2 linked regions of the Drosophila melanogaster genome follow. The protein of the gene in region 2 interacts with the protein of the main gene of each other region in a pairwise test. Each region holds a gene or a part of one and is shown on either strand. Other genes may lie near its edges. The genes, in order: CAH15 and CG5726.

The links.
Region 1: the proteins of CG5726 (region 2) and CAH15 interact in a two-hybrid assay, tested with the Drosophila melanogaster proteins (one large-scale study listed by BioGRID).

What each region holds. Positions count from the first base shown.
Region 1 is NT_033778.4:20,907,111-20,911,775, reverse strand, and holds CAH15 (carbonic anhydrase 15), read right to left. Parts: upstream 2,073-4,665; 5' UTR 2,021-2,072; coding exon 1,022-2,020; 3' UTR 975-1,021; downstream 1-974.
Region 2 is NT_033778.4:18,174,148-18,182,608, forward strand, and holds CG5726 (uncharacterized protein), read right to left. Parts: upstream 6,051-8,461; 5' UTR 5,686-6,050; coding exon 5,324-5,685; intron 4,387-5,323; coding exon 3,433-4,386; intron 2,918-3,432; coding exon 1,933-2,917; 3' UTR 1,108-1,932; downstream 1-1,107. Other genes in the region: CG10916 (uncharacterized protein), read left to right, coding at 1-454; nopo (no poles), read left to right, coding at 6,575-6,690, 6,750-6,965, 7,024-7,377, 7,438-7,495, 7,551-7,670, 7,727-7,930, 7,993-8,232; CG5721 (uncharacterized protein), read right to left, coding at 8,394-8,461.

The sequences.
Region 1 (4,665 bases), 2.7 Mb from region 2:
CAAGTCGACGTTGCAGGCCTCAAATCGAATTGGATCCGTTGCTCCAAGCCCCCCTTTCATCTCATCTCTGCAATAAAAACTAATTACAGGCCAATGGCCGAACATGGTCGAACTTTCAGCTATATGTGTGTGCATATGTATGTATGTATGGTTAGGCGCCAACTGATAATTATAAGCCTGGAAACTGGAACTCTCTGATTGCCAAGCAGCAGCTGTAATGCAGGGTGGGGTGGAGCAGGCTATGAAGGAGGAGGAGGAGGAGGACAGGAGATGAGGGTGCTTCGCCGCAGGAGGGCCAAAAACCCAATCCCATGCCCGTGCCCATCCCATCCCATTCCGATCCCATTCCCATTCCCATTGCCAATCTCAATACCAATCCCAATCGCAGGGCAAACATGTCCGCAACAGTTTCCGCTGCACTAACGAAATTACAGACGCAGACTCACACGCACACAATCGCATTGCCATGTCCTGCGGCGATTTTGCGCACAGGATGCGGAACAGGCTCAGGTCCTCGGGACCTCGGGTCCCTGCAACGGCTAATGCTAATGCCAATGCTAATGCTCTTTGAACGACTAATTAGTGAATTACTATATAAGCACACTATTTGCCCAGCAAACGGCAACCCAAAGTAAATTGTGCGGAAGACTGACCAGCAGGACCCCGAATCAGAAATACGGCGGAAACCAGGACCAATTAGTAACAACTTGGAAGTACAACATGTACTGACTGCCATGCCACAAGGATTATGTAATAAATTGGATTTTGGTATTTACTGTATGAACGTATGTAATGTAATAATGGTTGTACATAGTTAATTGGTGTTACCATTGTTTCTTATTAAGAAATCTTTATAAGCAATGTAGTTATGCAACTTGCTTCCTGTCTTTACAGATACTGTATATAAATTCAATCTCAACCATAATAAAGTGAAAGGGTTAGTTTGTAGCTGAAAAATATATACATATTCTATTCTGTTTTATCGAATTATATTTTCCACATACACTATAGCCAATCTGTTTTAAAACCCCGTCCTGTAGCGATTTAGGTATACCATTCGATCCCCGATCGGCTGAACTGGACGCGCATTGCGCGCTATCCTTGAACCACGCCTATCCCTCAGCTGGCGGAACTCGTTCAGCTGGCGCTCGCTGATGGCCAAGGACTCGGGATATATTAGCCACTCCGCCCCACGGTGGCAGGGCGGTTCGGTTAGGGATCCATTGTAACTGTAGAACTTGTCGTAGAACGGTGACATGAGGTAGCTAAGTGGAAACGGTGGCACTTCCACCACCTGACCGGCCTGCTCGACAGCAGCGAGATGCTGGATGAGGACATCGAGAAACGGATTGTGCTCGGACAGATCGAACATGTAGGAAATCATTAGGACACCCTGGCTAGAAGAGCAGCCATCGCAACCGTCGCCATCTGTGTGAAGGCACTGCATCTCCAGCGGGCTGTGATGATGGTCCAGTGTGTGCTCCGATCCCAACGAGCTGGCCCAGCTCCAGCGGAACGAGATCTCTCGGAAGTCGAAGCGCCCAAGTAGATCGCCGCCGTCGATGGAGGGCGTTCGTTCTGGAAAAGCTGCTCGCAGGATCAGTGTGTGTCCGTTGTTCTCCAGGCGAATGCCCAGCGGAATGCTATTGTAGTGCGACCATATCAACGGTGTATCAAAGTAGTTGATTTCCACACAGTTCATATCGATGTTGATGGGACTCTGATTGTTGCACGCAGTGTCCCAGGTATGAGGTCCCTGGTCCCAGTCATAATTGTAGGATTCCGGAGAGCCACGAAGCCTTCTGCAATTATCGCCGCCAGCATTTGCACATCCATCGTTCGATCCCTCATCACATCTATTGGCCAAGCTAAATCCTGTGTATACGTTGAACAATACCAATAGGGCCACACCGATGGCCAGGATGAATTTGAGGAGATTGCTGTCCTGGAGTCGACAGGATATGTCTTCTAGCGAGCACCATAGGTAATTTAGCAGACCACAGGTGAGGCATCCCTTCATCACCACAGTTACAAAGTAGAATCCACTCGGGAAAAACTTGCTGGGAAATGATAACTTTATTGGATGACAGCCAGGCACTGGCCTTCCTGGCTGAGCGGGAAAATTGAGAAAATTTCTAATTAAACCCGCTGAAAAGTTAATTATTTTGGAAAACAAATTGGGCGCACAGCGCACAATTTGTGCGAAAACATTTGCAATTTGTTTGCATTTGTATTTTGCATAAATTAATTACGCACAAAACTCTCTTCGGCGGCGGAAATTGCTTGCACAAATATCCTGTGCCGCTCCTGCGTGGACCCGCCCGGCACCTCCCGCCTCCCCCCCGCAACTCTTCTATGTTGCATTTTGGGAAATTAATTAGTTTTGTACGTACAAAATAGGCGAAATGAGCACTAGGAGCGGAACGGAAATTATTTCCAGCACTTCAGCAACACCTTTTGTGCTGCGGCAGGAACTACACAGGAACTTAAAGGATGGATCGTTTCGATTTTTAAAATAGTTAAATACTATATAACCCGATAAACATATTGAATAGGTTTATCGTTAAGTAATTATGATATGCCTCCAAAAATGTATGTATATTAAAGGGTGGCTTTATAATCCAATGAAACCTGAGAAAAATTATCAACTAATCCCCTTTTAATATATAAATTTTCTCTGCGTGTAGGCCCTAGTCGTACTTTTGACTTATGGCCTGTGAAATTCGAGACTTCTCGGCCATCTCTGATTAGCATAAAGTTATCAAAGGACGGCCACGCCCACAGTTCGGTGTTATGCGGGGTGGGTTCCCACTGCGATTCAATTATGGCATTTTTCTGATCAATTCGTTTGGCTTTGATTTGATTTCATTTTTCTGCACTTGTGCAGGGCGTTGACGTCTGCCAAATGTTACAAATTGTCCGTGCTCCGACCTCGCAGGACCTCCTCTCAGCTGCCAGGGTATTTGGTTTGTCCGGGTATCCGGGTGGTATTCGTAGTAGCCGTAGTGTCCGTGGATATGAACATGTCCTGGGGCATGTGAGCTGCACGCAAATTGACGGGTAAGCATGTGGCATAAACGGAAACACTAACATCGTTAGCCGAGTCCTGCCAGAGGGTGCCAAAATAACAGAATACGAATATAACGGAATAACAATCATAACCATTTTTGAGTAACCAGGCCTCCAGGCAGTTGTTTTCATTTGTGACCGAATGACTCGATTTTTATGGTCGCTTAGGGTTAATTGAGGCTGCAGATTCGGTTCAGGGGGTTGCTTGCTTGTCACATTACACAATGTTTGTTTTGGTTACTGCGTTTTTATATCCGGCACATGGACTCTATTTAAGTGGTCCGAGTTGCGTTTGATCGACTTACATAAATCACTGCTACATTCAGATTATGGTTATTTCAGTTGGGAGCGTGATTACATATAAATAAGGATAGCATATTAGGGTTATTATACTAATTATACAATGTACTTGACTTAACTACTTATATCTTAAGATGTGTGCTTTAAGTTTCAGACTCATCGAAATATAATTATGAAATCATCAATATACAAAGCTGTCCCATGCTTTTTTTTCCATAAATACGCAAATTCCGTCGACTGCATCGGCAACTGTAGCACTCACAAACATACAAACATGCAAAGGAAATTTCCGTTTCCGGTCGGAGAAACTTTGTTAAAGCGATGCGAAATGGGAGGCGAGGAAAAACGCATCGCACAATCACGCTGTCTTTGGCCGCAGGATAATGCAAACGAAATTGGTCTCACTTTGAATTCGATTGATTTGTCTGCTGCACGGCTCGATAATATCCTCTTAAATCACTTAACCACATTTGCCGATTACTGCGGCGACCGAAGAAGAATGTCCTTGGCTGTAGGGCGCAGCGGGGCCTCCGGTGTAAATTCGGTGTAAATTTTCACACATTATTCGGATGCCCGGACAAGGACGAGACAATTACTTTGGCTCCGATAACATTGTCTAGTGGGATTTTCTCCACTTCGACGGCCATCTCTTTTGCACACATCGCAAAGCACACAGCTGATAATGTTAATATGCGCCGCAGGACATCAAACACGGCGCAGGCGAGGGTTCAGGACAAGGTATTTAGGGCACTCAACTTTGTTTGGCCAATCCGCTTAGGCCTTTGTATCTCAGTCCGCTATGGAATTCGTTTGGGAGGGTCGGGATTATCGCTTGTCCTGTGTGATTGTTAAATGAACAACGCCTGTGAGAGTGTCTTCTCTGGCGAAACCGCAAGGACATTCTTCAAGATCGTTTTGCGGCCATGTTGCTACTGTATGTTTCACTCTCCCTCTCTATCTCTTTCTCTCTCTCTCTCTCTCTGCATCTCAGCTGCCTGCGAATGTGATCCTGATCCTTAACGCAGCATGCGTCCTTTCTCTACTCCTGTGTTGTTTTCACAGCCTCAGCCTAGCCACAGTTGCCCTCATTAGCAGCTTAGGGGCGTTGACGTGTTTTGCTTGCCGTTGTTGACAATGTTTGCTACTTGCCCGGCTGCATAATGTCCTTGTTTCAGCCTGAAAGACACTTCTTTCAAAAGCGAGCACTTCCCATCCGCTTTTGTTGGCTTCCCGAGTGGAACAAGAGGTTACTGCGAGATCGATCCATTAAATAATAGTATCATTGGCATGAACAGG
Region 2 (8,461 bases):
CAGAGACAGCTTACCGGATGCCCACCTGCCGCCCGAGGGAGCTGTGCAGTGTGGCACCAACGAAGACGGACTGCCCACGTATGTGGCCAGAGGATATTACCACGACGATCTCCTGCCTGCTCCTTATGTACCGGAAAAGAAGGCTGCCTTCGGTTCGCACAGCTGTAGCGCCCGAACTCTGACCGATGATGTCGAGATCCTGGTGCTCAACGACTGTGACTACAAGTGGGTGCCCGGACAGCATGGAACATATCCGCGGGATGCTCTGAACACGGGCTACTCCGAGCTGGGTGAGGTCACCTACACGGGTCGTGGTCTTTACCAGGGTATCCTGCGTCTGGGCAAGGTGCATCCTTCCCACAAGGTCATGTACATCCCGCATCATGGTCAAGAGGTGAGCGTAAACACCTACGAAGTCCTGGTGGTCACCCCACGTGACCAGGCAGATCGATGATGCTGCTGATATCTTAAATCTCTTATGCCTTATTGTATGAATCTGTGTTATAAATACATATGTACGTCTTATTCTATTTTTGAAAAAAATCGGATCTATTATTTCTGTACTTGTTTTAAATTCGCTTATCAGTAAGCCAAGATTTGTCCCCAATTTCTTTAATCAAGCGAAAAATTGATAACTTTGTTTTGACTGCCAGCAAATTATGTACAAATAAAAGTCCCCATATACATATGTATAAGTTAGTCTGCTATTTGCTGCCCTCAAGTATGCAATTCTTTATAATAGTTTGGAAAGTGAAGATGTTTGTGACTAGACACGGGTTTAAAAATATTTTGACCTTGACTTGATCAATGCCTACGATAAACGGAAATCTTGGTTTTTTGTATATTGTATCTAAAACGGACCAACTGTCTTCAAAATGGCAAGATTAATAAAAACTGCGGTCTTAAAGCTTTCTTACTATCGCTTTTGTAAAGTATGCACAACCGAGAGTTGCCCACAGAAGTTCTGGAAAGTGGAAACGCAGAAGACGAGGGGAGTCACCCACAAGGATTCGGAAAATACATTCATCCAATCAGGTGATGTAAATACGGAGGTAAGACTATGACATTCTGCTGGTGATTTCAAAAGTTTTCAAAAGAATTTGTTTTAATGTTTGATTAATGATAATGCAATTTTTTTGTTTTATTAAAAATGTGTTAGACGCTATTTATATGCTGATTAGTGTTTTGAACCTACGCATGTTGCGAACATATTGATTATACCTAAACAAAGAGGTTTAAGTATCTATATAAGACTACTCGTATAACTCTACAATTCATGTTTTTCTCTGCACTCCGGCTTGGCTTTGTTGTTCCAACAGAGGGCCTCACAAAATTTGCTTTAAAAATACGTAAGCTTGTATAATTCGTTTAATAAATCGGCTGAACCTGCACTATAACATGACATTTAATATATAAGTATATATTTAGCTAAAAATACAAATTTTTATATGTTCAACATGCTTTTAACATTTCACCAACAGGCGTTTTACTTTTCAATAGAAATAGGATTATTTTTGTTTTTTCATTGACTTTGTACTTAGTTTCTAAGCAATTTGTATATATAAATATAAAAATGAGTGTGTGTGACTGTATTTTGTGTGGGAGTGTTTATGTGGCGTGGTTGTGTGGGACTACACAAGACATTCATATATATATAATTGGTATTTACAAATTTAGTGGCTCCAATGTGTAATGCATGCATGCTTAATATTCTTTAAGCCTGGATTTGAGATGGATTTGTTTTGTGATTGGTCTAAATTGTTTTGTATTGGTTTAACATTTGAGCTCAGTTGAAGACAAAATAATGTGAAAACAGTCTACGTGGATATACACATCCATTAGGAAACATATACGAAGGCGAAACAAATAACTTCTAAACGGACTTCAAAAACAATTTTCGTACATGTGGATGACTTCGTAAAGTGTATAAACTCATTTCTGGGCCGACAAATAGTTCATGTACTGAGTGGTCTGCTGGGCATTCCGCACCAGCTCGCTTTCCTCCTTTCCGGATGGTGGTTGGCCCTTATCCGCCTGCCCCTGCCAGTTCTCCTCGTTCTGCGGCTGATGGATGTCTGGCTGGGAGCGGCGTGTGAAATGGCGGTGCCGCTGGTGCTGATGCTGATGTGGATTTTGTGGCGATGTCTGTTGGCGACGATCAAACGAGCTGGACGCTTCGCTGGCCAAACTGCTTTGGCTGCTGTAACGCGGGAATCGAGGACCACCGCCTGCATGCGTGGGGCTCTGATTGTACCTATAGCCGCCTGATTTATCCATTTGCGATTTTGGCGGTCTCGGCAGAGTGCGAGCCCTGGATGAGCTGCGACTATTCGATTCCGGACCATTCGAGTTGTACGCACAGTTCTCGTCTTGGTAGCCACTGTTTATAGCATTGTTTGAGCGTCGCCAGGAATCGCTGTGTATTTTATGGTTGCCTCCCTGATGTTGCTGTTGCATCTGCTGTTGTTGTTGCTGCTGTTGTTTCTGGAATCGCGGCGGTTTGTCGTAGGTGTTGCGGTTATTGAATCGCCCACCTCGCTTATAGTTGTTTCCGCGCTCGTAGTTACTGATATAAGAGCGCTCACTGCGATCATCGCGATCCCTTTGATCCCAATTCGAGTTGACTATACTATTATAGTTGCCACCGCCAGACATATTGCGTTCGATGCGCTCCTGCGAGTGCTTCCTCCTGTCGTGGATGCTATACAGTCGCAGGTTGCCGCCTCCCTCGCTGCGCACGCTGTGGTGGTCATCGTCGCAGCTCACGCTGTACCGCCGCTGTTGGTCGCGCGACCGTCCGTTACTCTGGTCGCCGTCGTGATTGCGGTTGAAGCGTGTCTTCCGCCAGCTAGGGAGCGGCTTGCTCTCGTCCCGATCCTCGCTGCTGGCCATGGATGGATACTGGTCGGAGCTGGCGCTGTTCAAAAATTTGTGGTTAATATTTTGTCGTTAAATAAATATCGGTAGAATGAAATGAAAATAAATTAAATATAAAAGTTCTCGTTTTTTATAACGATACTTTTGTGTTACCAAAATATCTACAGTAAAGCATACATTAAATAAAATAATGTTATTTAAAATTCCTCAATTAAACTTAAATACTCGAAACTCAGTTCAAATCAAATTTTCGATTGCTTCAAATCAAAATTAAAGAAATGTAAATTAGGATTTAGGACATTTTTAAACAATAGGTGTTAATAAATATTTTATCCTTGACTTACTTAAAGGACTTGAATCAATCTTGGATATGTCTCTATAAATAAATTGCAATATTTTGTTATATATGTATATATATACATAAATTTAATTATTCATCATATTAAAAGATTCCTATCAGTCGTAGAACTTTTTCTAAACGTATGCATGTTAAGTTGTGATTGATTATCAGCTATAAATAGTATTACACTTATATAGTAAAGATTTGGTACATACTCTATGCTGGCTGGTTGTTGGTGCTGCTGCTGTTGTGATTGATGTGACTTCAAAGGACGCGGCACTTGCCGAGGTTGGAATCCGCGACGACGGTGGCCGAGTGAAGCAGAGTTATTCGCTTGATACGAGAGTCCAGATTCGGAGTATCTATCGTCGCCCTGATCCGCCTCACCGTAGCCAGTTTCACAAAAGGAATCCTCGCACACCTGCTCGCTCCACTTCTTTGCCGACGGCCGCGGTTCAAAGGTATCCTGATCCTGGCCGGACGTGTTGGCGCTGCTGCCGTTCTCTGACTGTTGATGCTGAAGCTGCTGTGAGCGGCCATCTTCGGCGAGATCCTGGGGGCCGGAGCCATTATTGTTGACCCCATCCTCTTCGCCATCTTCCACCACCAAGAAGTTGGTGTACATTGTCTCCAGGTCGTGGCCGATATGCTTAAAGTGGCTGTAAAAGAGGTCCAGCACCATCAGTAGCATGGCCTTCACCTTAGCGGTCAGCGCGGGCTGCATGATCAAATGCCGGCGAACGTGGAAGAGCAGTAAATCAATCTCGACCTTATGCCGCTTGCGCATGATCTCCCCATTCAGTGTGATCTGTGACAGCACCAGGCGGGCAATCCGAGTGCCCAGCACCACCGACGTGTCATTGAGCTCGCGGGTAAGCAAGTCCAGCAGGGACTCACCCAAAATGGTGATCGGGGTATTATCCGCCAGCCTTACCCTGTGATAATATTCACCCAGCAGCGTGATCGAGTTGTACAGTCGGTTCTTGTCGTGCAACCGATATGCGTCCGCGTTGAGGAAGTTTGTCTCCAAAATCTTGAGCATGGCGCTGCGCACCTTCGTCTCTTTCATGGCCAGTGCGTCGAAATTTCTCGATGAGAAGAGCAGGGCGAACTTTAGCGCCGTATCACCATCGCTAAGCGCCTTGTCGTTCAGGTACTCCATTGACTCACTGAAAATTGCAAATACAATTAGTTTATTTACTTTTCATTTATTAGTATGTTATAATAATCAAGTCTACTACTACTTCATAATGTTAAAGTTTGCACTACAACTGTGTTTAACACCCCCACTGATATAACGCATAGCAGCATTGTTTGATAAGCCCAAGCTGCGAACTATTTGTTCAGCAATTAACTCGAGCATGAGCCTGAGAGAATCGGAGGGAAAAATGTTCACTTTGAAATGATTCGATGGCGCCGATGTCTCTCTGCCCGTCTTTATTTGTATGAAAAGTTGTAAATTTTCAAGACACGCTGACGTTCGAGCAACCTGGTCGCAAACAACGAACTCGTGCACGAACACATATACACAAATACAGTGCTTTTCAGATTTATAAATCGATTTTTAGACATTTAATAAAATTGAAATGTATATGTAGAAGGTCGCAAAAACTTTTTCGAACCTAAAAATAATGAAGTAAGAAGAAAAGTTTACAAAGTTGCACTTTAAGAACCCAAGGGTTCTTGAACGCGTAAAAACAAATTAACGTTTGAACTTGATTAGTAATTCGGTTTCTGCATTTCAAGCATTTCATTATTGGAATAACTTATAGAATGCTGTAACCTATGGGCGAACGCCACAAGCTCCCAAATTTAACGAATTACTCATGCTACTTGTAATGGAATGTCATAAATATTACAATAAGGATCGGTCTTCGCCAGGCAGATATGTACTGCATGCATTAAGTCTTGTTATCACATGGCTGGCTTTGATGGGCTTGGGAGCTCGCCTTGCCCATATGCTATCGCACCGCACTGTACCTACGCCGGGTATTTACATACATCCATATGTATATGCGAAAAGAGGTGGCAAATAAACACACTACTTATGATATGATTAATCATCAATGAGCGAACCAACCAAACGGTAGAGATCGGCACACATACCAAAGCATAGACTCGTCGCGCACTATGTTGCAGAAGTCCGTTTCGATGGTCTTGATCTTGGAGTTCAGCACAATGCCATCGTCCTGCAGATCAAGGTTCCTCATCAGGGCGATGATGTGGTCGTAGGCATAGCCACCTGTTTGATTTTGATAGGCGGCGGGGCCAGTGTTCAGGATGGTACAAACATCCCGGAGGCGCGCTCCCGTTCCCTCACCACCGCCCCCGCTACCGACACCACTGTGCGAACTGTGACCACTGTCCACCGCACTGTTGTTGTAGCTGTTGTTGCCGTAGGAGGTGGTGTTGCTGCTGCCACCGCCGCCACTGTTGCTGCTGCTGACCATGTTGTTGGCCATTTCCATTTCTCGCCGCGATCACTGCCGTTTGTTGTTGTTATCGCACGGTTGTTTGTCTGTCCCTTCCACACACACTTCAGTGTCTGTTATATTGGTACGCGCGTGTGTGTGAGTCGTCGGTCCACCAAATAAGAATCAGCGTTGACAAAGGTGTCGAAATGCGCACGCCAAATGAAACACCTTTTCGCTCAGCTTCCGCTTTGGGTGCAGGTGCAGTTAGCTCACTGGGACCCACGGTCGATTGAAACGCAAATAACGAACGAAATTAAATGCACAAATTTATAACTATTCCTATTTATTATTGCTATTTGACGACTTTTAAAAGAGGTGGAAAAACATCGATGTGTTGTGTTCTTTAAAACATCGATGTTTCTCCACCTCTAGATAGCATTGTCGCGATATCGAAAGCACACGGTGTGCTTTCGTAAATAGCGCCACAGTGCTCCCGCTGTTATCGATAAGACCACCATGGGGCTAAAGTACGGAGCATAAGTAGCTGGATTTAAGATGGATTGGCAGAATAAAATATGAAATTTATATCCACAGTATATCTTAAGAAGTAGGGTTTAAAAAGTATCCACACATACATATCTTTCTAAAATTTAGGATGAATTTTAGTTTCAGTGGCTGAGTAAGCGTATTTGTAAACATTATTTGTTGTTTCGACTTAAGCCAAGTTAGTTAGCAATTAGTTTGTCGTGGAAATATCTATCAGCTAACAGTTATTGTCTACAATCGATTCTTGACAAATACTGGTGTGGTGAATTCCGCTCATTGGAGCATCGTAAAATCGCCATCAGTCAGCTGTGTTTCGTTGGGCGCGCAAACTGTTCGGCGTGCGTTTATTTGTTGTTCTTTTGTAATAACTATTTTTATGTAGTTATTTGTGCCAAAAATGTTGAACTTAAACTGCGTGATATGCGCCGAATTGTTTGGCCAGGCCGACGAGGTTTTTGCCACAGTTTGTGGTCATATGTTCCACCACAACTGTCTAAATCAATGGCTCGATCGGTAAACAACGCATAAGGATATTTCTGATTCCCGACAATAAAATCAAATATCTTTCGCAGATCAAAGACCTGTCCTCAGTGCCGGAATAAGTGCACTACCCGCAACATATTTAGGGTCTATTTCAATCTGGCCAACTTGGATGTGAGCCACATCGATGTTGGTTCACTGCAGGAGCAGCTGGACAATGCGATGTTGTCCATGAAAATGGTCGAAAAAGAGCGCAACAAGGATGAACAGCAGATTCGGGATCTGAAGGAAACACAAAAGAAGTGCCTGTATGCTTTTGTATACACATTGCCTTAAGTACCAGACTGATGCATTTCTCATTTGCAGCAAAACCATAGCCGGTTTGGAGCAGAAGGTGCAAAAGAAGGATTTTCTCATCAGCAGCTATGTCGAGCAAATTGGCGTCCTCAAGAGTGATGCCCATGTCGTTGATGGGTTGCGCAAGGAAAACAAAACATTGAAATCACAGATCCAGAGTATGGAAGGCATATCGGCTATTCTGGCGGCTGGCTCGGCGGATGCCGACCGCTTGCTCAAGAACGAGGCTGATCCACATGTCCTAGCCAACTGGGTGTCCACTCTCAAGAGGGAGTTGCGACAATGCGAGAGCAAAAAGACGGAGCTCAGGAATGTAGTGAAGGTGGTGCAGAATGATCTGCGAAAGGAGATCGAACTAAAGCGGTATGCTCACAACATTCCAAACGTGGTTTTTATAATTGATATGTGCTCATTCGATTGCAGCAAGCTGGAAGAGCGTGTTTCACACCTGGAGAGCGACCTTTACCAGGCGCAGGAGAAGGTTTGCTGAGCCTTCTTTAACACAATTTCGATTAAACATACTATTATCTTTTCAGCTACAAGCTTTTGAGAACAAGACCGCTTACTTGGACTCACCAAATGCCTCTTGTGGTCTGAACAGCAACATTTTGGCCCTTAAAAGGGAGGAAAGGCGTACCACTATTTCCCCTACAGTTGTGAGTAGACACGAATAAACGAAAATATAAGCTACTAATATTTTGCTGCCCTACAGAAGGAGAATATTAAGCGCATCGAAGAATCCACCTCCCCATATCTCAACATTAAATCCAGCAGCGTCGGGTTGGCGCATCTTCTTAATACTAAGGGTAACATTGGGCTGGCCAAGTCTAAAATATCGCCCATCAAGGGAGTCGGTGGCGGTGTGTCTATGACCAGCGGAACCATACGGAAAACCAGCAGTGATCTCAGTGAAAAGGTAAACGCAATAATTTTGCCGAATTCCACTTAACCATTTAAAAATTCCGTATATTCCCCCAGTATTCAATCTTCAAGAAGCCAAGACTGCTGCTGGGAAGTTCAAGTAGTTCTGCGTTGACGGCCACGACGGGCTCAAATTTTGTCTACAATGGAATGGGCGGTTCTGAGAAGGTTGACCCCTTTGCGCAGCGCGCCGAGGAAGAGGGTCTTTCCACAATCAGATCCTCGACCGCCCTTTCCCGGAATGTCAACCAGCGTCTTAAAGCCGGCTCGCTGCGCAACTTTAACCTGGGCAAATAAGTCCACAGCCATGTGATCATAAGAGACTGCCCCAGTTGGGTATTAGCACGCGATTGGTATTGAGGATTGCCGATTTTGTTAGTTAGCCAATGCATGAATTAAGCAATAGTAATAATTTAGCAGTAAATATATAAAAATACAAAAGGCATATGTGTGTGCGATTAGGCGGCAATTTTTTTCTCCGCCGTGCCCGTCCATTCCTCGCGCAAGTGGACACTACAGCCGAGGT